4 linked regions of the Yarrowia lipolytica genome follow. The protein of the gene in region 3 interacts with the protein of the main gene of each other region in a pairwise test. Links are inferred from orthologs where the notes say so. Each region holds a gene or a part of one and is shown on either strand. Other genes may lie near its edges. The genes, in order: YALI1_A05031g, YALI1_D02316g, YALI1_D06195g and YALI1_B27399g.

Evidence for each region.
Region 1: the proteins of YALI1_D06195g (region 3) and YALI1_A05031g interact in binary tests that used the Saccharomyces cerevisiae proteins (3 or more experiments, as listed by UniProt). The link is inferred for Yarrowia lipolytica from reciprocal best matches to the Saccharomyces cerevisiae genes PMC1 and FTH1.
Region 2: the proteins of YALI1_D06195g (region 3) and YALI1_D02316g interact in a protein complementation assay, tested with the Saccharomyces cerevisiae proteins (2 studies listed by BioGRID). The link is inferred for Yarrowia lipolytica from reciprocal best matches to the Saccharomyces cerevisiae genes PMC1 and YPQ2.
Region 4: the proteins of YALI1_D06195g (region 3) and YALI1_B27399g interact in a protein complementation assay, tested with the Saccharomyces cerevisiae proteins (2 studies listed by BioGRID). The link is inferred for Yarrowia lipolytica from reciprocal best matches to the Saccharomyces cerevisiae genes PMC1 and SNA4.

Annotation. Positions count from the first base shown.
Region 1 is NC_090770.1:500,196-507,698, reverse strand, and holds YALI1_A05031g (uncharacterized protein), read left to right. Parts: upstream 1-4,505; coding exon 4,506-5,726; downstream 5,727-7,503. Other genes in the region: YALI1_A05052g (uncharacterized protein), read right to left, coding at 1-2,423; YALI1_A05003g (uncharacterized protein), read right to left, coding at 6,741-7,364. UniProt on the Saccharomyces cerevisiae protein: High affinity iron transporter probably involved in transport of intravacuolar stores of iron.
Region 2 is NC_090773.1:227,990-235,382, reverse strand, and holds YALI1_D02316g (uncharacterized protein), read right to left. Parts: upstream 3,753-7,393; coding exon 2,778-3,752; downstream 1-2,777. Other genes in the region: YALI1_D02348g (uncharacterized protein), read right to left, coding at 1-555; YALI1_D02345g (uncharacterized protein), read left to right, coding at 834-1,616; YALI1_D02275g (uncharacterized protein), read right to left, coding at 5,993-7,393. UniProt on the Saccharomyces cerevisiae protein: Amino acid transporter that moves arginine across the vacuolar membrane. Active during nitrogen starvation when it exports stored vacuolar arginine to the cytosol, for use as a nitrogen source.
Region 3 is NC_090773.1:613,863-623,805, forward strand, and holds YALI1_D06195g (uncharacterized protein), read right to left. Parts: upstream 5,934-9,943; coding exon 5,823-5,933; intron 5,676-5,822; coding exon 2,022-5,675; downstream 1-2,021. Other genes in the region: YALI1_D06131g (uncharacterized protein), read left to right, coding at 1-668; YALI1_D06152g (uncharacterized protein), read left to right, coding at 1,361-1,384, 1,460-1,597, 1,657-1,842; YALI1_D06233g (uncharacterized protein), read right to left, coding at 9,227-9,442. UniProt on the Saccharomyces cerevisiae protein: This magnesium-dependent enzyme catalyzes the hydrolysis of ATP coupled with the transport of calcium. Transports the calcium to the vacuole and participates in the control of the cytosolic free calcium.
Region 4 is NC_090771.1:2,737,602-2,744,337, reverse strand, and holds YALI1_B27399g (uncharacterized protein), read left to right. Parts: upstream 1-4,454; coding exon 4,455-4,835; downstream 4,836-6,736. Other genes in the region: YALI1_B27454g (uncharacterized protein), read left to right, coding at 1-301; YALI1_B27429g (uncharacterized protein), read left to right, coding at 1,414-3,090; YALI1_B27404g (uncharacterized protein), read right to left, coding at 3,162-3,950; YALI1_B27360g (uncharacterized protein), read right to left, coding at 6,206-6,736.

The sequences.
Region 1 (7,503 bases), on a different chromosome or scaffold from region 3:
TGCACGTAGACATCTGCAGTTCGAGGCAGGTGGTAATGCACAACATGGTGCACATTGGGGATATCCAGACCTCGAGCTGCGACATCAGTCGCAACCAGAATACCGTTCTTGTTGTCTCGGAACCGCTCTAGGGACCGCATACGGGCCTTCTGGATCATGTTGGAGTGCAGCTGCACAGCGGGGAGCTCGAGGTTCTGCAACATGGGAGTGAGACGCTTGACAGAGTCGATGGAGTTGACAAAAATGATGGATTTGCCGGGGTAGGTCAGCAGGAAGTAGTATAGGTATTGGTCCTTCTCCATGGCGCCACACTCGACGATACTCTCCAGAACCTGTCGAGCGACAACTTCGGCAGGGTTGGCGTCCACAAAAGTAGGATGGAACTGTCGGAACTTCATCTTGGACACGAGGAATCGGATGGTTTCCTGATCGGTGGCCAGACCTGTTCTTTGCTTTCGCTTCTTGTCCAGCTTGAACATGAGCGACTTCTGGAAGGTGGCTGAAAACACACATGTCTGTCGTTTGGCCACCTTTCCTCGTCCAATGAGATCCAGGGCCTTGTCAAGATCCTCATAGTGTCCATCCTGAAGCATTCGATCGGCTTCGTCCATTACCACAGTCTTGGTTCGCTTAAACACATCAACCATGCCGTCGGTATCGGTGATGAACTCGTGGAATCGACCTGGGGTGGCGACAACGATGGCAGGGTTCCATTTCATGAGACGTCGCTGCTTCATGATAGACAGTCCACCGGTCAGAGCCATGACTCGCGGTCCAGAAATAGGACAGAACTGAGACACGGCATTCAAATGGTCGGTGATCTGATGAGCAAGCTCTCGGGTGGGGGCAAAAACAATGGCCTGAGGAGGCTTAACAGAAGACATGTCTCTCTCCACCTTTTCGGTCTCTTCGTCCATCTCCACCTCGTTTTCTCGGTCTTCTCGCTCCTTGTCAAGCACAGGAAGGTCAGCAGGTCGGTCGGAAATATCAAAGCGGGGCTCGGGAGCCTCATCGTACATATCGAATCGCTCTTCCTCTTCCTCGTCGTCCTTCTTTTCTTCCTGTCCGGTCATCTTGGTCACCTTCTTAGGTCTGGGTTTGGTAGTACACTTCTCAGGGACCTCCTCCTCGACCTCCTCCTTCTTGTCTGACTTCTCAGCCTCCAAAAATCGATGCAAAATCGGCAGACCGTACGCCAGCGTCTTACCACTACCGGTACTGGCCTTTCCAATCACGTCATCACCCGCCAGAATGGGTGGGATCGACTTCTTCTGAATTTCTGTAGGAGACTTGTAGCCAAGAGCATACAGGCCCTGGATGAGGGAGTAGTTAAGCTGCTCGCCGTTGAGAGTCCAGTCAGGGAGATGAATGTCGTCGGGCACACTATTGAGGGCCTCAAATGCGTTTCCCTCGGCCTTTTTCTTGCTGTTCTGTTTAGGTTGAGTCTTGGCAACCTCCTTGCCGTCCTTTCCGTCCTTGGCAACCTTGGCCTTCTTCTTGGCTGGCTCAGAGGCATCCCCAGACTTATCCTTCTTAACTTCGGCCTTCTTGGTCTCTTTCTTAGAGTTCTTCTTCTCAGGCTTCTCCCCTACAACAAAAGTAGGAAGGCCGTTGTTGACCACAATATCAACACCGTCCAGCTCTTCAAGTCCGTAGAAACCCTCAAAGTCCATCTTCTTGTCGCCTAGCTCAACCTTCTTCCAGTTCATTTTGTTAATGTCGAGAGGCTTTGTTCCGGGTGCAGGAAGATCGATGGTTTCCCCACCGTCTGAAAACTCGGCATCTGACCAGTTGTCCATTTCTGCGTCAGATTCGGGTAAAACAGCAGCCTTGACCTTAGTCTTGACAGTATCCTTTGTCTTAGTGTCCTTTTTCACATCCTTGTCCTCCTTCTTGGCAGCCTTGTTAACTTCCTTCGCAGGCACAGAGACCTCAGCCTCTTCACCTTTAGTGGCTTGTGCGAAACCCTCAATGGCGCTGTTAGTTTTAGCATCAGCCTTCTTGACATCCTTTTGGGTATCCTTCTTGCCAGCCTTCTGGACATCCTTCTTGACACTCTTCTTGACATCCTTCTGGACATCCTTCTGGACATCCTTCTTGACGTCCTTCTGGACATCCTTCTTGACGTCCTTCTCGGCCTTGCCACCCTTGTCTTCCTTCTCCTCTTCATCATCGTCAAACTTGGCGAAATCCTTCAACTTGTTTTCGTCTTCGCTCTCGCTGGCACTCAGATCAGCAGCAGAAACAATGTCCATGGCTGCCACAGTCGTACCCTTGGCCGCTTTCGCTTTTCGAGGCTCCACAAAGCCGTTTTTGATTTTTCGAAACACCTTCTTGCCGCCAGCAGGCTTGCCCCCACCAGGAGGCTTTCCACCTGGCTTGCCAGGCTTGCCGCCCTTTTTCGCATTCTGTTTGATAGCCATGGTGTGAGTGTGTACGGAAATATTCAGCCTGGAAAAATAATTTTTAAACGTGCATTGAGATGCATGGAGGTTAGGGCTAGATGGTGAGCAGAATAGGGAGAACCAAACCACGTCGTAGGATGCGTAGGAAGAGTCCCAGGGGAATGATAGAGGATATGGTGTGGTTTGGAATGGTCTCTTTATGACAATTTGTCTTGTTCATATTGCCTTAGTTAGATCAATGAGTTCTCTGAGAGATCCCTCCGTTAATAAAAAACATAACAAATAAGTGCGCTTGATTCCAACTAATCTTAACTAATTGTCTGAGTGTGGCATTCCCAATCGGTTCTGCTGGATCGAGTGGGTGTGTACAAATGAATGGAAAAGATGGTCCCAATTCGTTCTGTTCATTCAGTTCTACAATCTGAACACTTTCTTTGTCATTTCAGGCTTGAAATTCCCCTAGTATTTCTGAAATATATGTTAAAAAATTATAACTTGCGGTATCACAGAACACCCTTTCCTAACAAACATTCAACTAAAGAGGATTAGCCTTGACACAACGACTGTCTTTTATGCACTACAGTTTTCAACGTATGACACTCCAAACGGCCCTGAAACTACACGGCACTGACGAACAAGCTCTTCCCCTCTTATCAGATGACGTTATCTGATCGGTGCGCCGTGTCTCATTCGGCTGCGCCACTGTGGCTTGTGGTTCCTTGGTGAGTGCTTGTAGCTCCGCTCGGACTCCGAGTGCATGTTGCTAACGAACTCGACAAAAGAAAGGAAAAAAAAAGAATGCACAAGTGACAGCCTGACCAGAACAGTCGTAGGCATACAGCCACGTGCCAACCACGTGAACTCACGTGGATTCGCATTCACAAACAAGGTCTTTCGGGTTTATAGTCTTTTACCTCCTTGCAACTAACTACAAAATACAACCCTGTTGAGAAGACGATCTGGACTAAACAGACCCACCGTAGTTGCACTCAAAGTGGCTAACGGGGACGCAGATAGTATGCAGTTGAGGGTGGAAAGTCTTGGCCGCACGTGACTAATGCGGATAAAAAGGAAAGGAGAAACCCCGAGCGCCGTTCTAAACCATTGTCGCGCATGTTTAGTGTATGTTCTGTTGCAAGAGTGCAGGGTATTGCTGTAAACTTTGGCAATGCCTAGTTCTAGTCTGTGTCTGTTTTGACGGGGTACAATGGCAATATTTATATATAGAAATGGTCAGCGAGGGACAGCAGATGTACTGAAATTTCTGGCGGCCCAATCGGAGCTCAATTGGGCAAGTTGTGTGAGTTCTGTTGTCGGAGATGAACATTCCACTTTATAACGGAACTCAGGTGCAAGGTAGATTCGCTCCGAATCAGTTTCGGTGGAGTTCTAGTTGCTTAATAAGAGTCCAATGTGGGAGAAAAACATACCGTTTTTGATTGGCTCGTTCTGAGGAGTCGTTCTATGCCACTTGTGCTTTGATCGGACTGCGCCAAACTTCTCTAAATTGATTCCTCCATACACTTCCAATTAGCCGCAACGTGACGATGCTTCCCTTTTGCCTTTTTGTTAATGAGCCGTGCTAGTCAAGGGTTATGGGTGTGTGGGGTGGCGGAGTGATGGGATGGCGAAATAACAGGGTACCAGGAACCCAAGACGGAACCCTGGACATCATGTGACGGGCACAAACTTCTCACGTGACTGTGAGGAATTTTCGCCTTTTACTTCCCGGTTTGCGACGATTCTGGGAGCTGTTGCCACCGTTTTGTTGTTTCCTCCGTTACGGTTATACGCAGAAAAATAGGCTCCGGATAATTAGGTTGTGCAGTTATCAGATGGAGCAACATCAGATAAGAGAGGCGTTTAAAGAGCTATAGGGACGGCCAAATTGAACGGGAGATGTTTTGAATCTATTTATTGTCGCGTTAGTAGTGGGATGATCTGTTTTTTGCGTTCAAATTCCGCCCCTATAACCCCCGATTGCCCCTTGATAAATGTCCACCACCACGCCGCCCAACTCTAACCCCTACGGAGCTTATTTTGAAAAGTCGCTTTTAATTACCAGACTCACTCTTTCCAGGTTGTACTCCACAACACAACATGGTCAACTACGCGGACTTTTTCGAGAATTATTTCTCGGTTCAGGTCTTCTTCATCATCTTCCGAGAGACCATTGAGACGGCGATTATCATCTCCGTGCTTCTGGCGTTCCTCAACCAGGGTCTGGGCGATAATGTGTCCCAGAAGGACTTGCAAGTGTATCGACGGCTTGTTACCCAGGTATGGCTGGGTGGAATCTTCGGTCTGCTCATCTGTCTGGCCGTGGGAGGTGCGTTCATTGCCACCTTTTACATCTACGGACACGATCTGTGGGGCATGACTGAGAACGTGTGGGAGGGCGTCTTCTCCATTGTCTCGTCCATCATTATCACCATCATGGGAGCCGCCATGCTGCGAATCAACAAGATGCGAGAAAAGTGGCGACACAAGATTGCCAAGATTCTGGTCGAGACCCACGAGGGCCACGGCGGCTGGGGCCTCAAGTACCTGTCTCGAAAGTACGCTCTGGCCATCCTACCGTTTGTGACCACCCTTCGAGAGGGAATGGAGGCCGTGGTTTTCCTCGGCGGTATCGGTGTCAACCAGCCTTTCTCTGCTTTCCCCCTTCCCGTCATCACCGCCATTGCCCTTGGTGCTTTCATTGGTTACGCCATGTACAAGTATGGCAACGCCATCTCCATCAACTACTTCCTCATTGGCTCCACGTGCTTCCTGTACCTGGTGGCCGCCGGTCTTTTCTCCCGTGGAGTGTGGTTCCTGGAGCTGCAGCAGTTCGTTAACAGAGTTGGTATGGACGTATCTGAGACCGGCTCTGGACCCGGCTCCTACGACATCACCAAGTCCGTGTGGCACGTCAACTGCTGCAACGGTCAGACCGATGGAGGATGGATGATTGCCAACGCGCTGTTTGGATGGACCAACTCGGCCACCTACGGCTCTGTCATCTCCTACAACTTTTACTGGATCTTCATCATTGTGGCCGTCTACGTGTCTTTGGTCAAGGAGAAGACTGGCTACAACCCCCTGTACCCTCGAGCGTGGCAGTCCAAGAAGTTTACTCGACTTCCTCAGAACGACGACGAGGACCGACTCTTCCAGCGAGCCTCGGCTGTTTACTCCGCTGATATGAACGTTGAGGGCCAGGGCACTAACAAGAGCTCCCAGTACGGCACCAACAGCATGCCCAACTCGGCCAACACCGCGGCCGAGAACCGAGAGTCTGTGGACTCTGACGCTCCTCTTCTTGCCAGCACTTCTTAAGTGGGATCAAGGACTCGACCATGCTGAATGCAGACATGACCAACCACTGGTACTTTTTTATATTTTGAGTACTTGTGACACAACACCGAACTCCGGTGCATGATAAATATGAACATATGATATATACACACCCCTGATGAGTACTCCTCAGTCTGTAGACAGCAACCTTACAGTTAGAATACCATCGCCGTTGCATGAGCAAATATCTAATCGACCTAAAGGTTGAGATAACGCAGACAGATAATGTAGGTATCTGAGACGGTTGAGCAATTATTGAGCAGATATGAAGAACGCAGGCACATGAGCGTAGATCGTGAGTGCTTATGGTTTCAACATGTCTGGTAGAGGTCTATTCAATGAGTGTACAGGTAGCTACGGGCAACATACCTGGCATGCGACTCGGGGCACGACCGGGGCACGACCATCAAACATGGGAAGAGCTCCATGTTGGATAAATCCGCTTGTCGAAATCCGCTTGCAGATAGTGTTTTAAATCTAGATACAGCCTTGTCGGTTGTTCTTTGGCGGGTCCGGGTTCGAGTCAGTGGGTGTACTTGTAGAAAGTGAGTAAACTGAATAGTTCTCGCGAATGGTCTGAAACTCATCGAAGTGTAGGGTAGATCTACCATCTGTGTATGCTGGCGTCTCTTCCAACTTCTAGGAAGATCGAGTTCCATGCTCAATCAAGCTGTTGTTTTTTCAGACCGAATAACTACTATGAATGTTTCGATATCAGTATTAAAACATACCCAACTATGTAGCAACCAACTACAAGTACATACGATACTTGCACCTGTAGATAACCTCAGCTAGCTGGTAAGCTTTCATGCTGCCCGTGTGAACATGTCTACAGTACCGTTTGCCATAGCACAGTTTGTCTCCAAGATTCTCAACAGCCCTGGACTCTTGGCTAGCTTCTCCCCCACTCTAAAATAGTCATCATTCATCAATTATATGCAGTTAGTTGTGCGCGGTACTGAGGGGGGACGCCATACTATGCTGTTATCATTCGACCTACAAAGAAGCAGGGAAGGTAACAGTGGTAAGAAGACAGGTGATGAGATCGTCATCAACGGTGTAGGCTCGGGCGACGGCAACGTACTTTCCGGGAGGAATCTCGTTGGGCAGCTCAATTTGCTTGTTGAGCTTGAGGTCGCCGGCCTTAATGGGGCAGGACCAGTCGACCTGTTCGGACTGCTCGCACAGGTCCAGAGTCTGGCTGATGAGCCGGATGTAGCCGTATCGCACCTCGACCTCGATGTAGGCGCCCTCCTCAACGTCCTCGTAGAGGTATCCGGACGCCTCGATGGTGAGGTTCTGGCCCTTGGCCGGGGGGTTGGGGTCGATGGACAGGTGTTTGATTTCCAGCAGCTGCTCGTATTCGGCGTCGCACAGCGAGATGGGCGAGTCTCCGGGGATGTCTTCGTCGTCCAGGGTCTTTGCAATGTCCTTGAGTCCTCCCTGGGCAACCGACATGCCGAAGTCCTTGGCCTGGTTCATGAGCTTCATGGAGTTTGCATCGGGCGCGGGCGAGGCGACCACGGCCGTGGCGAGGGCGATCAAAGGCAGAATGGACAGTTTCATGGTGTGGAGTGTGATGTGATGTGTTGTTGTGGAGGAGGAGAAAAAGAGGCTCATCAGCAATGTTAGCACGTCGAATATGCAGCGGTGGCGTTAATCTAACTTTATTAGCGGGGAGAGGTGGGGGTTCTAATGGCGGGAAAACATTTTGTATTAAATCACAAAAATTTCCCATAAATTGAGAGCGATGTTTTCG
Region 2 (7,393 bases), about 390 kb from region 3:
TCTATCTCTATCTCTGTCTCTGTCTCTTCGATCGCCATTCCTCCTATCTCCATCTCTTCTGTTTCTTCCTTTTGCGTCTCTTCTGTCGTTTCTTTCCCTTCTATCACCTCTGTCTCTTCCACCACCGCCCCCACCACTCCAACTCTCAATCTTGATTTCCCGCTTCACCCGCTCCTGCTCCATCTGCTCCTTCTTGATGGCAATCAACTGCGGCGGAATGCCGTCCTTGTCTTTCTGGGCAGCCACCAGCAGCTCCCACAGCTCCTTGCAGAACTTGGCTGTGTTCTCCTCCAGAAACCCGTTCAGATTCAGCTGGATCTCCCGAATATCTGGCTTGTCTCCACCCAACAGTTCCAGGGTGTAATCAGTGATAATGTCGTCGTCTGGCAGCAGCTCATTCAGCTTCGTAGTGATCCACCGGTTGATGATCGGCCGGTTCACCTTGGTCATGTCCACCGCCTCTCTGTAGATTTTCGGCACGCGCAACTTGGCGAGATCTCGCTCTTGGCGCTGTTTTGCCTCTGCAGATGATACTGGAACTCCTCTGAAGGACATGGTGACGATTACTTTGGTGATCTTGTCTGAGGAGAATACAAATAGTTCTGCATGTACAGTGCAGTGCAGGAGGCATGCGTGTCGCCGAAATGGTGCGAGACTGGAGAGAAAAAAGCCAGAATAAGAGGGACAGATGATGGCGCGATTAATTTCTGGGACCGTTTTTGTTTCCCTGAAAAACCAACAATCTTTTTTGATCACGCTCAAGAACCGATTCCAATCACTGTACTCGGCCACTCTCAAACCCAATCTTCAACTCAACCTTCATCACTCCAAACATGAACATTGACAAACCAGAAAACCCGTTCACAGCGCCATTGGCAACGGGATACAGCAAGCAGCCACCGAAATGTGAAATATCCAGCTACGACCGATCAAGCGGGAGCTTTGCAGCAACCCAGCTCCAAAAACTGCTCGATGACAACACTCAGTATCTCATGGCAGTGCCTCACAATGGTCCTCGAATAACAGACACAGAAAGAACGCTACTTGAACGAGATCTGGCTGCGACAGTGGCTTCTTTGGACGATCCCCACGACTTACTGTCTGTCATCAAGCTGCTTTCAGCCATTGAGCATGTGCTTACTACTCTGGTCATGGACACCCCTACCCAGTACAGTATGAGCCAGTTGTGGGGTATCGCTTCCAGATATATGGGTCCAAACTTGTACAAACGCAACATTGACATTCGACGACATCAAGCCCATTGGGTGGCAATGCGACGAACCGCCACAAAAGAAATTATAGGCAAGGGTTACCTTGTTTCTTTCAATCTTTTTGAGTCCATTTCTCCCGAGGATTTTGATTCCCTACAAGATTACCTCGTGACCCTGGCCTGGGCAACTGCCACCGATGAAGAATCGGGCTGGTGCATTGGCATTTACCACATCATGTCGAAGCTGGGTCCTATTTTGGGTAATGGGGGGTTATTGGAGAAGGTGGGAGATGCTCTGTCGTCGGTAGATCCGGCTAGTGAGCTCGAGAGGTATAGGTTGGATGTTGAGGCTTTGTGGAGGAGGGGAAGTGGTAGTCAGCAAAAGTCGAAGAAGAGGAAGAAGTAGTACTAATGAGCAGCCGTACGTCAACAATACCCAGGGTCGATCACGGCTGTGAAGGGTCTGGTCATATGTTACTGGCGACAGGAACCATGGGGTAGCTATGTCATAATCCTGGAGCCTCGGTTTCCTTGGGCAGCACTGGCAACATCCCACATCATGTACATAATCCCTGTAGTATGTACTTGTACTGTGATTACAGTACCATGTAGGAGTATTGGAGTATTTTCTCTTGTATTACAGTGACCTTTTGTTGACCAATTACTTGGTATCATTTAGGAATATCCGATAAGCTTGGAAGAAACACCAAAAACATCCTCATAGACGGATACCTAATGATTCTTCTGCTGATCCGTTTCCATACGAAAGACACCTTGGATTACTCACTAAAAGAGCCCCTCTTCCGATAGCATGATATACGACAACGTTCCACCTAACTGCTCCGGTGTCATCAACCCACTACCTACACCCATGAGAAAGCACCTCACTCAACCGACTTTCCAAATACTAGTTCCAAAGTAAAACCATATAGAGATACTATTTATACCTTCTTCTTCCCCGTTGTTGTTTCCCATCATCTCTACTATTCCTCGAGTTGTCCACCAAGTTCATTTTCAGCCGTTCCCACGGATGTATCACTCGTGCTGTACAATACAAAATACTGTATCTAAAACTCTTGCTCAGAAATTCTACGTATTATAATACTGATCTTCACATTCACCAACCCCGGTCCACCCACACCAGCCAGGGAATATTTTCCTATTCAAGACAATCCAAGCGAGAATGACATGTGAGACAGGGTCAGTTGGACAAGGGTGTCATAAACAAGCCAAAGAGGGGAGAGGGGTACAGCATGCAGTAGACAGTTTTACAACCTGGAGTCACGAGAAGCGATCCAAGGAAGTATTGCTGTTTTTGTATTGTTTTTGTTCAAGTACAGTAGTGATTATGTTGCCTTTGTGTTGATTATGCTGCTTTGTGTCGCTTTACAACCTGTACCTACAATTCTTGTATCGTTAATCTCATAAATAAATAATGCTATGTCTATGCTCATACCCGTTCAAGAGGGCAAGAACGGGCCGTACAAGTGCACATTGTAACAGGTCTTGCACATGTACTGTGTACTCTAGGACTGTTCGAAAACTTGTACCAGCCTCTAAAGGCTGTCTAGGCCAATAGCGGCAGCGTCTCCGCCTTTCTTCCCTCTCCATACTTCCATCGCTGCCAGAAAATGACAAAGTCGAACAGCACAGTTATGCTGGCAGCTCCGACAAACGGAGCTTCTTTGATGAAGAAGGCCCGTCTCACTGACTCCTCCAGCGTCAATCCAATGGCAAAGATGGACATAGAGTAGGTGGCGTTTCCACAGCAGGCAGCAATGAACATGGCCAGACCCATGTTCTCAGTGCTCTGCCGCTTGTAGTTCTTGTACACCTGGGGGATTCGCGACACTGTGTAGAGAAGAGAGGATGTGTAGGACACAAAGATGCCGAGAGTGAGAGCTGAGAGGAGAGGAATGGCTGCCGTGGACATGTGGGCATCTGTGTTGTCTACAACCGTCTTAACCCCCTTCATGACAATGGGAGCAGCTGCGGCTCTAGAGGCTCCAAAGGAGGCTGCCAGAAACGCCTTGGTGACGCTTCCGGGAATGAACTTGGGCACGGACGAGGACGAGGCCGAAATGCTGTAGTAGTTTGGGGAGGGTGTGACCGAAAGACCGCCAGGTGTGGCTTTCTTGGTTCGGATTTCGATAGGAGCTTTGCCCTTGCGCTCCAACTCGATAGGAGTGTTTGTGTAGCCGTCCAGGACCTCGATTTCGGTCACTTCGGGGCCCGTGCTCTCCATTTTGTGAGCTCCATAGCCCAGAGTCTCGTAGTAAAAGTACTGCGAGAGGAGAATCGCGTCAATGCCGCAGTAGTATGTGGCGAGAAAGATTTGGAACGGCAGCTGGTGGGTCAGCAGAGCACCCCACAATGCAAACGTGTCTCCTCCAATCCAGCAGAGAAGGAATCCAAACGAAAATCCGTCCACTCTTTTGTTTCGGAAGTTGGCGTAGCACTGGTATGCCAGAGCCACCACCCAGATGACTATACACAGCTGGGTGAGTCCCTGGGAGATGAGTTTGAGAGCTTCTTCGCGCATGTTGAGAAGGTGTGTGGGTTTCGAAATGTGTCTTTGATGGGTGTGGCTAAGACTGTGGCCGTGTTATGACTGTATGGTGTGGCAGGTATGGGTCGACAGTGGCTGTGGTTGTGGCTGTAGTTGTGGCTGTGGCTGTACTGATGTCGTCTTAATCGCTGTTGATATCTTCTCTATCGCTGTTGTTGTCGTCTAGAACGTCTTCAGTGCTCTATCTTGTATGAAGTATCGTTTACCAGGTATGTCCGTCCCCCCTCTCTTCTATATACATGTGAACGGCAGCTGATAAGCCCAGGAGATAAGGGTAGATAGAGTTTGAGTGGTATGTGGGATGGTGCATCAGCACAACATTGGGGGAGAGGGTGGAGTTAGCGGGCGGACGGAGTTGCTCCGAGGTCGGTGTGTTACACACCTTGCTCTTGGTCGTTGTTGGTGGTGTTGTTTTTTTTTTTCGCTTCTATTTATTGTCTCCAAACCGCCAAATGTCTACTTTTACTCACTCTCTTTCGCGGCTCGCTTATTATGTCACTCAACATAGACTCTGTGGGGGCGCTTTGGCGCAACCTGGGTGTAGAGTCATGTGGGAGTTGCGAAGGGAATTACAGTGACAAGGCGCGAACCGCTTAGTCCAGAAATAGACCAGACGGAGAGAGACTGGGGGAGCAAAGACCAATATTTGACGGAGGAAATATCGTCTAGACCCGTTAAATATTGTGTAGACCCGTTTAGTATCGTCTAGAGCCGTTTTATTCATAGTAGGATCGTCCGTGGGCTCCCTGACTACTTGTAGGCGTGGTTATGTATGTACTGTTACGTAGAGTAGGGCGGATATAGCATTCCGACTACAAAACGTCAAGTCAAGAGGGGTAACCGGAACGTCCGAGGAGCTACTTGTAGTCAGGAACGGTCGAGTGGCAGGTGTCAAGTTAATGGCTACATGCTGGCGGCGATTTATTTGTTCTTGGTATTTCTGATCTCCCACTCTGGGTTGAATACTCCACCCTCTCTGTCTTGCTTTCCGATTCTACTTCTGATTTACCCATGTTGTATATTTTTTAAACACACCCTGATATGGCGTTTACCTCGCTACAGTGCAGTATCAAAGCGTTGTAATTGGCACCGATAACACAGGGTCTTTTAAATCACACTACATAACTGTACGGCATGTACGACACTCTATATGCCAAGTGTTATAGAGGGCTAAGAGATGTAGCAGGTCGGAAGGCTGCTATGCAACACGTCTTAAACATATATACCTACCAACGAGGTTGTCGCACTGTTTCGAGACGATACAGGGACGCTCTTATCATACAGTCCATCATCTAACTCTGATCGGCGCCCAAGCAACCTAATTGGAGGTCCATCAGAGTTGGATAATCGGCATATACAGCTATCTGAAGAGGTAGCCGTTGTTAGCCGAGTATTCGAGGCGGCAATCTCATTACACCGACGACGTAATACGGCTTTAGTCGGTTCTAGAATGGCCTAACGTAGCCACTGCCTCCTCCATTCATGCACCGTTTCCGCACCCACTTCCGCTCACGTGCGGTCTTTGTTTTTAGATCCCACGTGAAGCCGTGCGTGGAATAAAGTTGCGCGTAGCCAATCAGCGAGACCAAACTGGTATCTACTGTGCCAGTACAGTACATACTGCACACGAACGAGTCATCTAATGGGCGGACATTTGAGACGAAAAGTAACGTAATGGCTACGTGACCTGAATACACACAGAGAAGACTTGCTTTTCTGTTGTGTTTTTCTAATTATATCCTCCCCTCTTCCTCAAACTCAATCATTCCCGGTGTCTCAGTGCTGCTTGTCTCACACTGTTTTGACTCTGGGAAAAATCAAAACACCGTACAGACCTGAAATGTGATGATAGTCGGACAACTTGGTTGGAATCCAACAGAGTCGCTTTGGACCGAAAACAAGGACACTTTTGTATGTAAATGTAACTACGGGGAATTTTATGGTGTCATTATTTTTGCTATAAAATTTCTGTAGCAGGAGTTAGATCCTGATCCAAGTGTCCTGTGGGTTCAACTGTTCGGACTCAGTTCTAGTATCACACAAGATCTTTTTTTTTCTGCAAATGTACGAGCAAATTTCATATCTGCAGTTTAATCGATAATTGGGCCTAAAATTACTCTACTACATACAAGTACAGTATGTACTCAGATCTAATCATCAAAGGATTCATTTTGTTAAATATTATGCAAGTGCTGAGGTAACCCTTACTACGGTTACATGCAATGAAGGATGAAGGGGAGGAGGGCCAGGGGAAGGCTGACCAGCAGCGAAGCGCCGCCATTTTTGTTAGCGGAAGGTGTAGGAGCAGCTGAAGCAGCAGCTGACTCTGCAGAAGCAGGGGAAGAGGCATCAGATGACGATGCCGAAGAAGCATCTGAGGTAGAAGAAGCCTCGGTCGAACCTCTAGAAGAGCTTCCCGAACCCCCAGAAGCAACACTACTGCTGAGGGTAGTGTTGTAAGAGCCACCGTTGGCGATGAGGCCCGAGGCAGAAGGAATGGCTTCTGTGCTAGAGGGAGAAGAAGCGGAGCTTTCCGAAGACTTGGAACTCGACTCAGATGTGGTAGAAGCCTTGGAGCTGCTCTCAGAAGAGCTAGACTCGGAAGAGCTAGTGCTGGAAGCCTTGGAGGAGGTTTCAGAGCTGGAAGCAGAAGAAGACTCAGAAGAAGAGGAGAATTCGGTGGAAGTGGCTGAAGAGGACTCGGCCGAAGAAGCAGATTCTGTGGAGGTAGCTGAAGTAGACTCGGAAGTGGAACTAGAAGACTCGGAAGTGGACGAGGCACTAGATGACTCGCTACTGCTAGCCCCCTTGGCAGCCTCCTTATGGTCACTCTGGTACTGCTTGACAAAGTCGTTGCACTTGGAGTTCACATCGGTCTCCTTTTTATTGGCGAACCCAACTCGCTTCTTGTCCATATCAAAGACCGTGTACACGTTCTTCATGAATACAGCGCCCAGGATCCACTGCTGGCCATCGTTGCCAGTCTTGAGACCCTGAACATTGGAAGCACACAGTCCGGAGCCGTCTGTATACTTGAAACCAATGTAATCCTTGGGCGAGATGGCCCATTTGGTTCCGGCAACCTCAATCTCGATGGAAACGGTCGAATCACAGGGGATAGCGTAATTCTTGCCATCAGTCTGCGAGTTAGGAATGTATCCATGGAACTTCATAGCGTCCTCGGGGGGCATGACGAGCAGAGTGGTTCCAGTGTCGACAATGGCGTTTCGTGAGGCGCCGAAATCAACCTGATTACCTCCTACATACGCTCCATCTACAGAGACCTTCCAGAGAGCTGTTCCAGACTGCACATCTGCCCAGGAAATGTCTCCGTCGACAGCAGCGTGATCGTAGTCGCCCAGAACAAGCGCTCCGTCGGTATTGTCAGCAGTTCGTCCCAGAGACACACCAAAGACCCGCTGATCGATCTGGCCCTGGTCCTTGAGGACGGAAATGAGGGATGGGAAGTTGGATTCGCTCTTGTCGACAGCCGAAAGGCCCATAATGCCGTCAATGGCAAAGCTGGCGAAGCTGGGGTCAGCCTGGTTGGCTGTTCCAAACTGCGTGCGGGACGTGGTGGCTCCCAGGGTCATGTTGTCCACCACAATGTCGCC
Region 3 (9,943 bases):
CCGAGTTTGGCTGCAACGAGATCCGACACAACGCCAAGGGAAACCCCGAGCGGCCCTTCACTGAGATTGAGACCCTGTACTCCGACAAGATGACCCCCGTCTTCTCTGGTGGTCTGGTCTACGAGTACTCTCAGGAGTCCAACGATTACGGTATTGTCAAGATCGACGGCGACTCCGTCTCCAAGTTTAACGGCGAGTTCGACATCATCAAGGCTGCCTTTGCCAAGGCCAACCCCCAGGGTGACGGTGGATACAAGAAGGATGGCAAGTCCTCCACTTGTCCTGCTCGATCCAACACCTGGGAGGGTGATGGACCCATTCCCGGCATTGTTCCCCGAGCTAAGGACTACATGAAGAACGGTGCTGGCAAGCCCGAGGGTCTGTCTCAGCAGTCCACCCAGGAGGGTGACTCTCACGAGTCCGGTCTCGACACCATTGGCAACAAGGACCCCAAAGAGTCTGATCCTGACTCCAACAAGTCCGACTCCTCTTCTTCCGGCTCTTCCGGATCTTCCAGCTCTGCTTCCTCCTCCGGCTCTGCCTCTGGTTCTGCCTCTTCTGCCTCTTCCACTGCCTCTGGCTCTTCTGGCAGCCAAAACTCCGCTGCTGCCAACGCCCCCGCTGCCGGCGTTCTTGCTGCTGCCGCCATCATGGCCGCTCTTTTGTAAACAAATTAATTTATTTTAGATGAGCACGGCACCCCGCCACCATGATATAGATGATTTATATATTAATACACGAGATGATTTACGGTGATACTTTTAGAGCGCGAGAGCAGCTTGTACTCGTACTGGGATTGAACTAAAAAGATGCGCCAATCAACTACAGTATTATGGTAGAAACGAAAATACTCACTTCTCCAATTGGAGAAAATCCTTCATTTTCACTCTGAATGTCAGTTCATGAACGACCTGATTGGGCTGCCAACTGTTCACTGTCCGCGTCACGTCAAATTGCCTTCAAACAAAACCCAAGTTTGGGATCGGCCCATTTGAGAACCTGGGGTTGCTACGGTTACCGCGGTCTCCCAAGCAACGGAAATAAGCTTCCTCTTCATAGCCTTTTTTCCTGAGACTGACTCTACTGTGTGAGTGCACATTTATGAAATTTAGACTCCCACACGCGTTCAACGCAGGGCAAAGGGAGAGGAGAGACGACGAGCAGGGTGTTGAAACGGCCGAAAATGGGCACGCTTGGGCGGTAAAAGCGTTGCAGGTGTAAGATGGGAAATATTGGGACGTTATCCTTATATATTCTGTTTTTTTACACTTCACAGAATAAATATAGGCCAAAACGCGTTCCACGTCTTACCGAGACGCGCACTTGTAATTATAGCTAATAACCGGTTACACATCTCTGTATGATCGTCAACCTACAAGCACTTGTACTTGTACTCACAAAACCATTAATTTAATCACAATTGAGTGCAAGCGGGAACAAACGAGGCCCTCTGGCCCAGCCGGTGCATGCCAACGCCAAGCGAATGATGCTCGACATAGCCATGTCCGACTGGATGGTGTACTTTTACGAAACCGTTAACTCCACCGAAGAGAATCCTGCCCTTCTCACAGTGCCCCGAATCCCAGCCTTCAAGCGAGTTATATCTGCTACAGGGATATCAGGGACTCGGTGATGAATGATCTCATCATTCTCCAGGCCCAAAGAGACACTACGAAGATGGCTGACAATGCGCAGGAACTGAACACTCGAAAGGACGGCTCCAAGGCCCGAGTTCAGCCCATTCATGCCATCAACTACTTCTACAAGAGCTGGGTGGATATGGGCGCCAAAACTGGGACAAGCACTACTTGTAGGGTGCCTAAGACGGCGGGCCTTACTTAGCCCTTACTGATGTGATAGAGTGGGCCACAGCAGAGTATACCCCGGGCGCAGCCGCCTCTAGGACAGCCAATGGCCCAGCGGAGTAATAATTCGGCAAAGTGGTGAAAGTATTTACTTTCGATGTCATCAAATCAAATAGATAATTCATTAGCATGCTATACAATAAGTCAATAAATACATTAGTTGGAGGGAGGCTTGAGCTCTGGGTTCCATCCGGCAACCGCTCCGCCCACAATGGCGGGAACCATGACCAAGGCTCCAATGGAAGAGCCCCGAGATGAAGACCGAGAAGAAGAACCTCCGGGAGAGGTGGGGGAAGTGTTACCATTGTTGCCGTTACCAGATCCACCGTAGTGGGCTCCGGGAACTGCCAGGTGACCGTCGTTTTCGGTCCATCGGTCTCGTCCAGACTCATCAAAGACGGTCTGGGTAGGGCTAGCGGTGGTCGTACTGACTGAGGGCTCCTTCTTGGACAGGGAAGCCACTGAGTTGGCTCTAGATCGCTGGAACATTTGTCGGATCTTGACAGGCACCAGGTTGGGTACTTGGTACATTCGGCCTCCTCGCAGAGCTCGCATGAACTCGAGCTGCACACGGGCCTCCTCAATACCGGAGTGCCACTTGTAGTCGGATCCCTGGAAGCCATCGTCCCGGGGAACGTGAATCTCGACAATCTCCTTGTTCTTGGGTCGCATGATTCGCCACAACTTGGAGATCCAGTTGTGCAGGAACTGGGGGTACATGGCGGAGATCCAGGCGTCCGGAATTAGACGTAGAAGCATACCGGCGGGGAGAGAAATAACACCACAAATGAGGGAAGTGGCCCACTGGCCGCCGTTGAGGTGCACAATGGAAAAGGCAGCACCTCCGACAAACATGATGAGGACCTGGAAACCGCCAATGATGACCACAATGAGAATGAAGAAGATGTTTCGGTGAATACCTGAGAACATGTTCATCTTGTTATCGAGTCGTCGGTTGACAAAGAGGTTAAAAAACTGCATCCACACGAAGGTGTTGAACACGGTGGCGTCCAGCTCGTCTTGCTGTCTGGGAGTATCCACGGTCCAGAAGTACTTGCCGGCGAAGAATAGCACAAAGGTAACGCCCAGCTGGAAAATGGCCTGGCCGAAAATCATCTTCCACATGGTCACGGTGATGAGGTTCTGTGACTTTCGGTCGGGCTTTCGCTCCAGCACGTCAGGAGAAGGAGGGTCGGTGGCCAAAGCAAGAGCGGCAAGAGTGTCCATAATCAGATTGACCCACAGAAGCTGAACGGCTGTCAGCACAGACTTTCCGTGCTTGTTGACGACGGCAGAAACAAAGGTCAGAACGACAGCAGTAACGTTGACGGTCAACTGGAACTGCAGGAACTTCTTCACAGCGTCGTTGACGGTTCGGCCCCACATGATAGCCTTGACAATGGAGGAGAAGTTGTCGTCCATCAGAATAATGGACGAAGCCTCCTTGGCAACCTCAGTACCTGCAATACCCATGGAGAAACCCACGTCGGCCAGCTTCAAGGCAGGACCATCGTTGGTACCATCACCAGTGACAGCAACGGTCTCGCCCATCTCCTTGAGAGCTTTGACGAGAATTCGCTTGTCTTCAGGGGAAGATCGGGCAAGAACCTGGAGTTGGGGAAGCATCTCTTTCATCTCGTGGTCGGCAAGTCGTCGGAAGACAGGTCCTTCCATCACCAGGCCGCCCTCAGAGTAGATGCCACACTCTCGAGCAATGGCCTTGGCAGTGTTGACGTTATCTCCAGTAACCATTCGGACAATGACACCGGCCGACTGACAGTCGGCAACAGCCTTGGTGACACCCTCTCGAAGAGGATCCATGATACCAATGAGACCAAAGAGAGTCAGGTCGGAGAACATAGGTTCAAATTCGGCCTGTGAAGAGTCGTCAGAAGAGGCCATGCCCTTAGGGGGCCAGGAAGAACACTCAAAGTCTCGGTAGGCAAGAGCAATGCCACGAAGAGACTGCTCGCCATAGTGGAGAATCTTCTGGTCAATGTCCTGTCGCTGTTCTTTAGTGATGGGAGAAACGACATTGTTGTTGTAGATCATTGAAGACTGGGCAGACAGAACCTCGGAGGCTCCCTTGATATACATTCGGTAAAAGCCCTTCATCTTGAGAATCACAGCCATGCACTTTCGAGACGAGTCAAAGGGCACAATCTGTACAATCTCACGAGCGTCTCGCTGGTTGGCAAGGTTTTGAAGACCCATGTAGAGGTGAGCGAAGTTGAGGAGAGCGGTCTCGGTCTTGGATCCCACAAACCGTTCGGCGTCAGTGTCGGCAATCTGGTCGGTCTCAAACGCGGTGGTGTTAAACACGATGGACTCAAAGAGAATCTCTCGGGCCTCGGCAGGAAGAGTCTCGAAGAACTGGGTGATTTCCTCTACCGCAAACTCCTCGACTCCAATAGTTCCTCGGGTGACAGTCATTCGGTTCTCAGTCAGAGTTCCGGTCTTGTCAGAACACACTGTGGTGGCATTACCCATAGTCTCACATGCTCGCAGCTCTCGCACAAGGTTATTGTCCTTGAGCATTCGAGTGGTAGCAAAGGCCAGGGCGAGAGTCACAGCCAGGGGCAGACCCTCAGGAACAGCCACGACAATAATGGTGATAGCGGTAATCAAAATGTCCATAAACTCGTTACCCTTTTCGGCAGGGGTGTCCTTGTTGCCGGGGAGACGGGCGCAGAATCGGATGAAAAGAACAATGAACAGAATCAGAGCAGCAAGACCACCGGCCTTGGCGATGCCCTCGGCAATGTCGTTGAGCTTTGCCTGCAGAGGAGTGGCCTCGTCCTCAATGTTGAGAGAGAGCAGGGTCTTTCCAAACAAAGAGTTGGGTCCAACTGCAGTAACAACATAGGTACCAATACCCTCAAGCACCTTAGAACCAGACAGAATGAAGGGATCAACCTTGCCTCGAGTAAGTCCGTCGACCCGGCTCTCGTAAGCAGTCATGGCGTCGAAACCAGACATTTTCTTCATGGTGTCGGTCTCACCGGTAGCAGAGGACTCATCGCACTTGATGTTGTGGCCCGAAACAAGGATACCGTCTGCTGGGATCATATCTCCAGGCTCCAGAAGTACCAGATCACCTACCAGAAGATCGGCGATGGGCACTTCCTGGGTCTTTCCACTTCTAATTACACGAATCATTCGATCTTCCTTTTTTTTGTTGAGTTTGACGAACCGCAATTCCTTCTGCCAATCGTTACCTGCTCCAACCACAACCACAATGATAATGGCGACCATGATTGCAACTCCCTCGACCCAGTCGACCTTGGGCAGCTTTCGACCCTGGGCGTCGTGCTCGGCGGGCTGGCCAAAGGTCTCATACAGACCCAGAGCCAGCGAGATGATGGCAGCAACTGTCAACAGAATAAGCACCTTATCTTGGAGCGCCATCCACATGAGGTAGAAGAGCGACTTTGCCTTCTTTTCGGGAAGAATGTTGCGGTCGTATGCTTCGATTCGTGCGTCTCGGGCACCAGCGTCCTCCTCGGACAGACCCGACTGAAGATTAGTGTTGAGATCAGTGGCGAGTCCCTCCAGACCACCCATCTCTGCCAGCACAAACACCGACTTGGGGTCGATCAGGTGGCTGAGCTGCTTGGGGGCCCATTTGTATCCTCCGGCCAGTGTGCCGTCTGCGTCTTCATTGAGGTGCTGTTGTGCTTCTTCTGCGTGTGTCGAAAAATCCGAGTCGTTACATGTCGAGGGTGTGGCTGTTTCCTCCTTGATCGTGGGGGAGTATGAATTGGTTGGTTCGATCAGAACCGGGGGGTGTTTTTCGTCTGCATCGACAATCTGGGTTAGTTTGAAACTGCGGGTCTTCACACCCCACATCATCATCATAACAAGATGTGATATCACTGCCTTGACAACACAAGACGACACCACACCGTCACTGTGCACGCTCCATTCACTGTGATTCCTTCACTGCCTCTCACTCACACTGGTGTCGATGGATATCACGGGGGGCGCCTGGGGGTTCATTATTGCACCTGGAGTACCTTGTGGCGTACTATCTGTATGTGTCGGGGGGTCTTGGGTCGTGTCTGGCATTTCGGATCACACAGCAGACACCGTCAAGAATATATTGGATCTGAGAGAAGGAGAGAGGCTGCGAAAAGTCCAAAGAGGGAAAACGCAAAAGGAAAAAGTGAAACCTCCTGTCTCTCCGTATGTGTGTGCCTGTCTCTTGTTCAAACGCCGCCCCGCCGTTCCGGCAGCAGCAGCAGCATGCGCGTGTGGTCTAAGCATCAAATAAAGAGCTTGTTTGGACTTTAGTTCGGCGCCGTCTTTCTTTCTATCCCTAGGCAACAAGCAAGCTAATCGCCGTGCAAAGTCTATCTACGGCCTGATGAAGCCAAACAGTAGCCGAACCTCAGCTCTAAGGGTTCACAGCTCACGGTCTGTGCCTGCTTGGTCGTCGGACCCCGTACATGCCTGCTGCGCCTCGCCTCTTGACTCGTGTTTGCCGTGGACGTGCAAATCAGAGGGCAGCTGATTACCTTTCAAGGTGAAAATTAAAAGTGCATTTAGGGTTGCAGGGCGGACTTGAAAGGTGGTTGTGTAGGACTGTAGTCGACTCCGGTTGAGGTCTTTGCGACTTGTAATCGTCATAATAGTCGCCCAATTCCCTCTCAATCTACTCCTTAATCTCTATCAGTGCAGTATCCACTAACACCTCTGTGTTGAAGCCGCACTATGGCGTGTGCAATTGTGCTTCAGGGCTGCAGAGTATCACCAATCTTGTCCCAAACCAGCAAAAGTTTGTTGCACAGCCCCCCAGGTTTCCTGCTCCAGAGCAAGCCGGTCAGGTGGACTACCGGCTGTGCGAGGACTGCGGATTTCGCCCTTGAAACGTGTTCACGTGATGAAATCTGTTCACTGCCGTTCTGGAGGACCGCAAGTGCATGTCCAGCTCACTCTCATCCCCCAAGAACCCACCAGGCTGTGCACTCTTGGCACACAGCTACAAAACTCTGTTGAGACACGTTCTCACGAAGGCTCAGCCCCCGCCGTAGTGGATGCCATCTGGGATGATGGGGGTAAAAACATGGGTTGAAGTTGAAGTCGGTTATTGATTGACCGAGTTGCGAATACTGGATCGGTTTCGAACTTGAAACTGCTTCCATTGCTGTGCTTCGCCCTCTCTCCAAAGTGCTCTATATACATAGCATCTCCTACATCCTGTGTAAACACCATATCTCACAGTAAGAAGTAAAACGACTCGAGCTCACGCTACCGCTACGGCATTGTCAAACTTTCTCCATTTGTACTCGTCGCAGTTACAAGTACGTCGTAGTTCAACCAAAGAATTCCTTGAAACGTGTGAAAAAAATATTCTTGTTACGTCCGAATGGGGAAAAACTCACCTCATTGTGACACTGTTTGTCGCCTCTATACTTTGAGCTGTTGAGTCACATCACTAGTCACCAAACTTAGAGTAGCTGGGCAATAGTGTGAAGTAACACTGCTGAAGGGAATACGTCCTCCACCTGACCCTGAAAGCCGGCGATTCGATACCATTTGTGTTTGATATTCGTACGTACGTACAGTCACAATGAGGCTGGCCAACATCGGCACTCCCGAAAGTCCATTCCCGGTGCACGGCAACTGCACCTCTAGGTTTCACAGTCTTGGCCTGTATAGATGGATAGCGAGGATAAGCCTAAGCCGTCGGGCCGGGGTTTCCTCAGGGTATCTATACTCTGTCCAGCTCGTCGACAGAGCCCTGGCAGACGACGGCTTGGGGTTTGGAGGGGAAAACTGCAAAATAAAGTCATGAGCACTGCCCAGGTGGAGATGGTGGGCATCGTGGGACCGCATTGCCAAGAAGATACGGCTGGACGTTATGAAACCAAACAGAGACACAGGTGCATGTGCTAGTCCGTCATAGATAGATGATAAGCAGCTATGGTGCGATTCCAGTGGATCCGAACCAATAGTTTTCGCTGATATGTGTTATCCCCCAGTTACAAACTAGATTCGGGCAATACGAGAGATCGTGCGATCACCCGAAATTGGCTCTGTCTGGTGTTTCTAGACTTTATGATTCCAACCTCTGGCCGGACGTTGAGCCATTCTCGCCGGCTAAAAGACTTGTGCACGTTTTAATATGTTCAAGGGATCACTACTATACGGCTCTCCACCTCGAAACTGCGCCTCTTCAACTCAGTGCTCGCCAAGTCCATAGCCAAGCCCATTGTATTGACTTGGCCAAACACTACCATTAACCATCATTGACAAAGTCGAGATAAAAATCTTCGCGCGGGGCTGTGCTGTAATTAAACCCAGAGAGCTAATGGATCTTCAGCTCTCACGCAACCCGTCAACCTACAAGTAGCAACTGGGCCGTCTCTAGACAGAGTTGGCTGCTCAAGGTCAATGAGTTATAGACAATCAAGGTGTAGCAAAGACATGCCGAACTAGGTCATAACCCCTGAGGTTCGGAGTCATGGAGACTGAAAAGCACGTGTATGGGCTGTGCACTTGTAAAAACAAACTTGTTTTGAACTCTGGGTTATTCGTCGTGTCGAATATTACGCCCCAGTCCATGAAAAAAAAAGACATTGGAGCCGTCGGTAGAGTCCAAGGTGGATGGATTATGACAATGATTTGGCCAAGTGTCCCAGTACCGTATCTAGAGTACTCTCGTATCATTATTGATGTTTTATTCCGTTCCATTAACCACAGTCATGCCTGCATGTCACAATGACTTGATGCTGTCTCCGCCAGCTAAGCTGCTGTTCGGGTGCAAGAGACTCTAAAAACGACAAATACCCCTAATGGTACCAGACCACTCGATACTGAAAAGGAAACTTATCCTCAGTTCAAATCCTTCATCTACACCGCCCAGTGACTAACTCCAGCTTAAGATCCACTTCAAGGCGGAGCAGTGAATGACCGCAGTCAGTTTCCATTCGCCACCTCCACAAGGTTGATTACGCAGCCCAGAAGACCCTGACTCAGTTACCTGCTTCCAAGAAAAGAGAAGCAAGATGACGTAGTGCCATTTGTGGCGCACGGACCGGATCATACATTATCCATGCGATGAGCCGAGCGGTGGAAAGTCCTCGTATGAGTACAATACACGATACAGATGTGGCGCAAGGAACCATGAACACAGTGGCAGTACATTTTTTAGTCATGTGATTTTTATTGGGAGCTCGGAGGTCTCACAGTGATCTTGACTTTAAAAATCGTCATCATACCTATCATATGGTCTTGTGCTGGCGCCACTGGTTGTTTACATAATCACACTACAGTAGCGAGTACAAGTAAAACACTGGAAATACAAATATTATCAATTAGTTAGAATCAAAAACTCAATTGGACCGGATAATCACAGATTAGGCACCGCCCTCCCGCTTGGCGTACTCCTCCTCCATTCGCTCGAGGTACTCCTGAGTAGCAACCTCCTCGGGCTTAGCGGGGTTGGGGGTGGTGTCAGGCTTCTTCTCGAAGGTCTTGGGATCGTGATGCTTGTGGCCATGGTCATGCTGAGTGCCCTCGCCCTTGTTTGCAAGGATTTCGTCACCAGTCTTGGAAGTAACAGGAAGACCCATAGTTGTAGTTGTAATGTGTGGTGTAGTGTGGGGTGAGGAAGTTACTTGGGGTTGGTGAGATTTGTTGGAGGGTAGTTAGGCAACTTTATTCGATGTCTTGCTACCTTGGAAAGTGTGTAGAATATGATCTGGGAGAGCAATATGCACGCTATATATACTGTTGGGATCGCCGGACGAGCTAAAATACCGCTGCGAATGACGTGTTTTCACAGGCCCCATGACTCACTTAACATTGCGACTTTTGAGCAATTGTTGGTGGCGCTTGCAGGCCTGCAACTACTGTTGCATGTCTGCACGGTAAATATCCCCAAGGTTGGGAGTTGGGAGGAGGAGGAACACAATACAGGCAGCAGTAACTTTATCGAGAGAGCAAGACTGCGGCGAACATTTTGATGTCGTCGTTGGTGCAGCCTCCGTGGTTCGATCCTCGTTTGTGGCTATTTGGTGTGTTAATGATGACTAAGCTTGTATGAGGAGAAATGTCATACACTTGGTAAATGA
Region 4 (6,736 bases), on a different chromosome or scaffold from region 3:
CATGCGAGTGTACACTTTGGACCCCAATTGGAAGGCTCAGAAGGACCTGGCGGACTCCCGTGCACAGTCTACTAACCTGGCCACCAGTGGAGTCACCCATAACATGAAGCGAATGGCTGAGGCCAAGCAAGGAGACGGCGGACGGCCCACCAAGAAGCCTGTAGTTGCGTGGGATGGACGTGCTGGATCTAGTGCTGCAGCCCAGGAGGAGGCTATGAGAAGGGCACCCAGCAAGGAGGAGCAGGCCAAGCAGAAGAAGGAGCGTCTGGCCAAGGAACGTGCCATTGGACCTGGACGATAAAAGGAGATACGGGTATAAGGATATAATTAGTCGGATATAAATCGCATTTGTATATTATTCTTATGAGACCATGTACTTGTAGGTCGATTTGCCTAAGGTATTAGTCGTTGAATAGCTTATCCAAGCACATACAGTACTCGCAGCTTCTACTGTAGCTACGTTGTAGGTATGAAGAGCCAAATGAAAAAACTCTTGCGAAAATTTTCGTCAATAGCCTGTTGTATAGCACGAAAAAAGGCACGTGTATCTTCGTTACCTATTCAAGAAGCTATAGGCGGCACGTAACCGAGTGTGAGCGGGCTGTGTAAGAATATCAGGGAGATAGTCCTGAGGTGGACTAATGAGTACAGTAGTTGTAGTCATTGGAGCAACAGATAGTATATTACGAATATATACGTGTACAAGTACAAGTACAAGTACAAGTACAGGTGTAGCCTCCCTTCACTATACGTAACCCACAGTCAGACATGACTCAATACCGTCAATGCCGGACTTATTTGTACCCGGAGATGAGGCTGGGAGGGGCGCTGCCTGACTCAGACCTCCCTCCACACCGTACACAGCCTGGCGTGATTGCCGTGTTTGTGTTACACGATGCCCTCCACAGTTAGTAGTACGAGGCGTAAACGCCACATTAACGCACAAGACGTGATACAACGTTGTTTGAGGCCACAAAGCTTGTCATGCGCAACACTCCCCATTCCGAAGGTGTATCCGCTCTCGTGCCTGTTGGTTAAGATTTGGGGGAGTGTTTGACGAGACCTGTTTTCATCCTGAATGATCATCTACCAGTATTCTACGAGTGATATCTGCCAAGACTTCGTCTGCAAGTTCTGTCTAACCTCCTCTTGGCATGCGTCGATAGGAGTATCACCATATGCACGATAGAGACCATGTGGGGGTGTCCGGGGAATCAAGGTTACCTTACCGAGGACCCCAAGATCCCGAAATTAAAGCCTATATTTATCGCGTATGTCTGAACCAAAGCCACCTTTCAATACCACCGTCCATACGGTTGTGCAAGCCACGATGAGTTATATTCGGGCTGGAGAGTGGCTTGACAGACAGTATATAATCTTGGGTGAGGTGTGTGCGACCGGATTATTCTCGCAATGCAGTTCAAAAACCCATTTGTCAAGGAAAAGGCTGTATCTGCGGCTTCCGTCGACTATGAGACGGCTGAGGTCTCTTCTACTGAAGGCCTGTCTGCAACAGAAGACGAAAAGTTCGACGGAGTCCTCGACGGATCTGGAGATCACAAGAACCCATTCACTGATCCAAATGTTGCTGAAAAGTTCCGACAGCTCTATGAGGACTCTCAATACGAAAGCAGACATGTGTTTGATCCCGATTTCGAGTGGACCAAGGACGAAGAGAAACGTGTCAAGAGAAAGATGGAGTGGAGGGTCGCTGGCTGGGCATGTATTATGTTCTGGGGACTGCAGATTGACCGAAACAACTTGGCTCAGGCTGTGTCTGATAATCTTCTAGAAGACCTGAAGCTGACCACCAACGAGTACAACTACGGAAACATGATCTTCTATCTGTCTTTCATGAGTGCTGAGATTCCGTCTCAGCTGGTTTCCAAACGTTTAGGTCCTGATCGGTGGATTCCAATCCAGATCTGTCTGTGGAGTGCGGTAGCCATGTGTCAAGGAGCCCTTCAGGGAAAATCTTCGTTCTATGCTACGCGAAGTCTCATTGGTCTCTTGGAGGGAGGATTCATTCCTGACCTGGTTCTTTGGTTGTCGTACTTTTACACCTCAAAAGAATTGTCCATCAGACTCTCCTTTTTCTGGACTGGTTTGTATCTCGTGAACGTTCTGACTTCGCTCTTGGCCTTTGGAATTTTGAGAATCCACTCTGGAGGTTTGGCTGGCTGGAGATGGCTGTTCATCATTGAAGGACTCATAACTCTGTGTATCGGACTAGCCTCTTTTTTCAGAATGCCAGCTTCGGCTGTCAGTACCAAGAAGTGGTTCAGACCAAACGGTTGGTTCACTGACCGAGAAGAGAAGATTGTGGTCAATCGAGTTCTACGAGACGACCCGTACAAGGGTGACTTTCATAACCGACAAGCAATTACCCCATTCACTCTCTACAAGTGTCTGTCTGACTTCTACATGTGGCCCATCTATGCCATTGGTCTTCTGGCATACATTGGAGACAGTCCCGAAGGAACCTACTTGACTCTAACTCTTCGACACCTGGGTTTTTCTCCCTTCAACACAAACTTGTTGACCATCCCAGTGAGTGTTCTTAAAATGATTCTTTTGTTGTCCTTCACTTGGCTGTCTGAAAAGATCAATGAGCGGTCCCTCGTCAGTATCATTCAACCCCTGTGGGTCATGGTATTGGTGATTGCTCTCCGTTTCTACCCTGAATCGGGTATTAATGTCTGGTGTACCTACACCATTCTAGTCCTTCTTCTTGGAGGGCCCTACATCCATGCTGTTGTTGTGGCATGGACTTCCAGAAACTCCAACACTGTGTCTCAAAGAACAGTGTCTGCCGCCATGTACAACATGTGCGTCCAAGCTGGAGGTGTTGCTGCCACACAGATCTATCGAAAGGATGATGCTCCATTCTACCACAGGGGAAACACCCAACTGATTATTATCAGTGGAGCAACAATCGCTTTGCTCATTGTGACGAAGATCTTCTATGTCACCATTAACAAACGAAGAGATCGAAAGTGGAGCGCCATGTCCAAAGAAGAGCGAGAGGAGTACGCTCAAAACTCGACAGACAAGGGAAGTCGGCGGTTGGATTTCAGATTTGCTCATTAAGCATGCATAACTTATAAAAATTGATGTGTTGTACAAGTACAAGTAATAGTTGTATCTCCGACGTGTAATGCTTAGTAGTCAAGAACAATCTCATTCACTTGAACAGGACGTTCTCGTTCCATAATTGCAACAGTTTCGACGAGATCATGCTGGTGGTAGACGTCGGCACAAATGATGACGACTGATTTCAATGCAAATTCCGTAACGTCTGTCAGTCGATCATATTTGGGGTTCTGTAGAATCTCCAGAGCTCGTTTACCCAGACTCCGTACTGACGCCTGCTCTGACGCGTCTAGAATGTCGGGCAGACACGACAACAGACCCATGAGCCATATACTGAGACCACGGCTGATTTTAGGTCCCAGCCATTTATGACAGTACTCCAAGAGCATGAACAATTGCTGGTGGGGCAACGATGCAATGAATTGTAGTGTTGGTTCGGGAGAAGAAGAGCCCGAAATGAACGTTTTCCATTTTGAAAATGTTGTCGGTAGCTCTGAATCAGCTGGTAGTTCAGGTCGTTCATCTCCATGCGATTGCACAGTTTTCCGTAACTCCATGAATGACTTTCTGATCTCCACTCTCCACTCGTTGATAACAGATAGTGGCATAACAAGAGACATCTCCGTGTATTTCTTCGAGTATGTTGAGGGTGTTGTGGCACGTCTCTGTCCTTTGACTGTCGTAAATGCTGGACTCTGGTTTGCTTCTCGTTTCACCTGGGCTAGATACTGAGCGACATCCATAGGGGGCCCTTCAAGGTCCAGGTCGGCCACTTGCTCGTCCAGCGGAAATGCCGATCGCTGGCCTGTATCTTCGTTCAACGGTCCTGCCGTGTACTCCTCCAGGTTTCGCTTCATCTGGTGTGTTCTGTTGTTATCGTGAGGCTCTCATCAAAAGATTCGTGAGCCTAACTCTGATGGGCTTTGAGCCGCATGGTTGTGTCAGTGGCGAGATACAACTACATTGTAGTGTGTTTTCTGTAGATTGAGCGTTCGATTTTGGCGACTTTGGAGAATTTTTTTCACATTTCGCTACTACATGGTCTCTACACACAAAAATATAGACTTCCTAAAACATTGACATATACCATACAATATTCCAGATGAAGCCTTGGGCTGTATCATGACATCACCCGCTGTGGGAATACCCGAACCCTAATTATGGAGTTTAGTTCGCCACCATCGTCAAGCAAGCCCTATATATCACCATACCAACGCCTTGCTTAAACCGCAAACCCACTCAACTATATACACCTGTGACGTCTTCTAAACGACACAGATATACAAGCACAAGTTACAACCCCTGAGTAACAGCCCAGGTCCGCCTCTAAACCCCCATCGCACACATCCACACACATCACCATGAGCTGCACCGACCTTCTTCTTGTCATTGTGGCGGTTTTCTTCCCCCCAATTCCAGTTGCCATTCGACGAGGTGTCTGTTCCGCAGATTTCTTCATCAATGTGGCTTTGTGCTGCCTCGGTTTCCTGCCCGGCCTGATTCATGCCTTTTACATCATCTCGAAATATCCCGGTGACGAGCATGGATGTCGGCATGGCGGCTACGCTCCTGTCAACGGCTCCGAGCAGACCTTCTACGGCTCTTCTGATCTCGAACGAGCCGGTCCTTCCAGCAGCCACCAGCAGCAGCCCCAGCACCAAGCTCCTCCTTCCGGGGAGTACTACACTTCTCTGGACAACAAGAAGGACAACACCAACCGCCCTCCTCCTTACTCTGGGTAAGTGGGTATCTTTATAAGTAAGTTAACGTGACATTTCTACAGCACCAGCACCCATTCTCGTATGACAATTATTGTGTAGTAGGCAGACATCGTATTCGCTTATGAATAGAACCACCCTCTCTCTCTATAAGTATATAACGCTGCGCAATCTTGCATGGACTGCGGTGTTTATGTACCCCTTTCCCTTTTGCCACTTGCGGTCATTAAGTGAGTAGCGTACCTATCCAACCGTTATTGAGGGTTGTAATCGGCCCTTTTATTAACGAATAAGACACTTGTATACGTCCTTTAAACGCTCTTCTACAGCCCTGGGTATGTGCGCACACGAACCATCTTTCAATACGGGAAGGAGAAAAACTCCATCGTAATACGTGATGCAGGCCCCGCAGACAAACGCAACTACGATATCTGGGGTGTGGAGATATCATAGGCCTCCCCTTGTTCCCTTGTGCTCCGATCCCATTGATATTATCAAATACACACTATAACAGCCTCAGAAATACACTAGCAGCAGTACATGTCATCCAACATGCCTTGGGTCGGACATGTCGGATCTGCAGGCCAGCTCGTGTCTCGCTATATGATAATCCGCGCCTTTTACCGAAACGAAAATCGCGATCAGAACAGGAGACCACACGGACACGGCCCGTGCCCAACCGTAGCATAGCCAAAGTTTCAAGGTGACCCTGGCGGCAGCCAGCGCAGCGCTGGGTTGTGATGATGCAATCTACAGCAACTCAGAATGGCACTAAAACTCCAACACGGTGTCATGTCCCCTATACCACTCGGAGAAAGGGAGATAGTCCAGCGGGAGCGCCGTCCGTCGTAGTGGGATCACCAGGGTACTTTTGGGTGTTTTTTGGCTGTTTCTTTGGCTTTCAAGACTCGATTTTGCAGTCTCATAACGTATCTTATATCGTTCCTGTTGACAAGGCTAAATAAATAATCCCACATGGAGGAACCAGCAGCCAATAAATTCAGTATATACCCCCGCTTGACGGCAAACAAGACTATGCAGGCTACGGTCTGAAGTTTAGCAGAGCGCTATTGTAGGCCCGCATTAGTCCCCCGCTAGTGCCTTAGCTGAATTATTCCATCCTTGGAACCCAAATGACCGTGACAAGCTACGACACTTGTACCTACGACATGAGACACCAGGAACAGATACAATATCCATAATTCGAAATATAGGAAGAGAACATCTCGTTTTCATATTATACAAATAAATAAGGACTAGCCCGAAAATGAGCTTGGCATTGACAACCGAGATTAAATAAAAGCCTCTGTTATTTGTTGTTCCAAGACGGAAGACAAAGAAGTGAGCCTGTCCATCCTAGAAACAAATGCATTGAACCGCATCGTCGCAATCCACTAAGGCCCATACGAAAGCATCGATCCGTGGGTTGATGAATTGTGATCCATCTTTAGCGAATGATGATCCACATGGCCTGACGGACCCGGGTTGCTGTACTGATACATATCTCCCATATCCGGAATCTGCTGCTCCGGAGGTGGAGGCAGATCAGAGTGATGTAGATCTCCAGAATGCTGCGGTTGTTGTGGTTGTTGATGTTGATGGTGTTGTTGTGGTTGTTGCTGCTGATGCTGATGCTGATGCTGCTGCTGCTGTTGATGCTGCTGCTGTTGATGCTGCTGCTGTTGATGCTGCTGCTGTTGCTGCTGTTGCTGTTGCTGCTGTTGTTGGTGAAGAATATGTTGTTGGATATGTGGATCCTGGTTGTCGGAGAGTCCCAGTTGACTGTGGTTGGACTGCCGTCGCTCTGGTGGGGACTGTAGCATCTGGTCTTGTGTAAGCTGCTGTTGGTCCAGTTGGTCGAGTTGCTGTTGTTGAGACACTTGAGGGATGGGCTGTTGGGGCTGCTGTTGTTGTTGCTGTTGCAA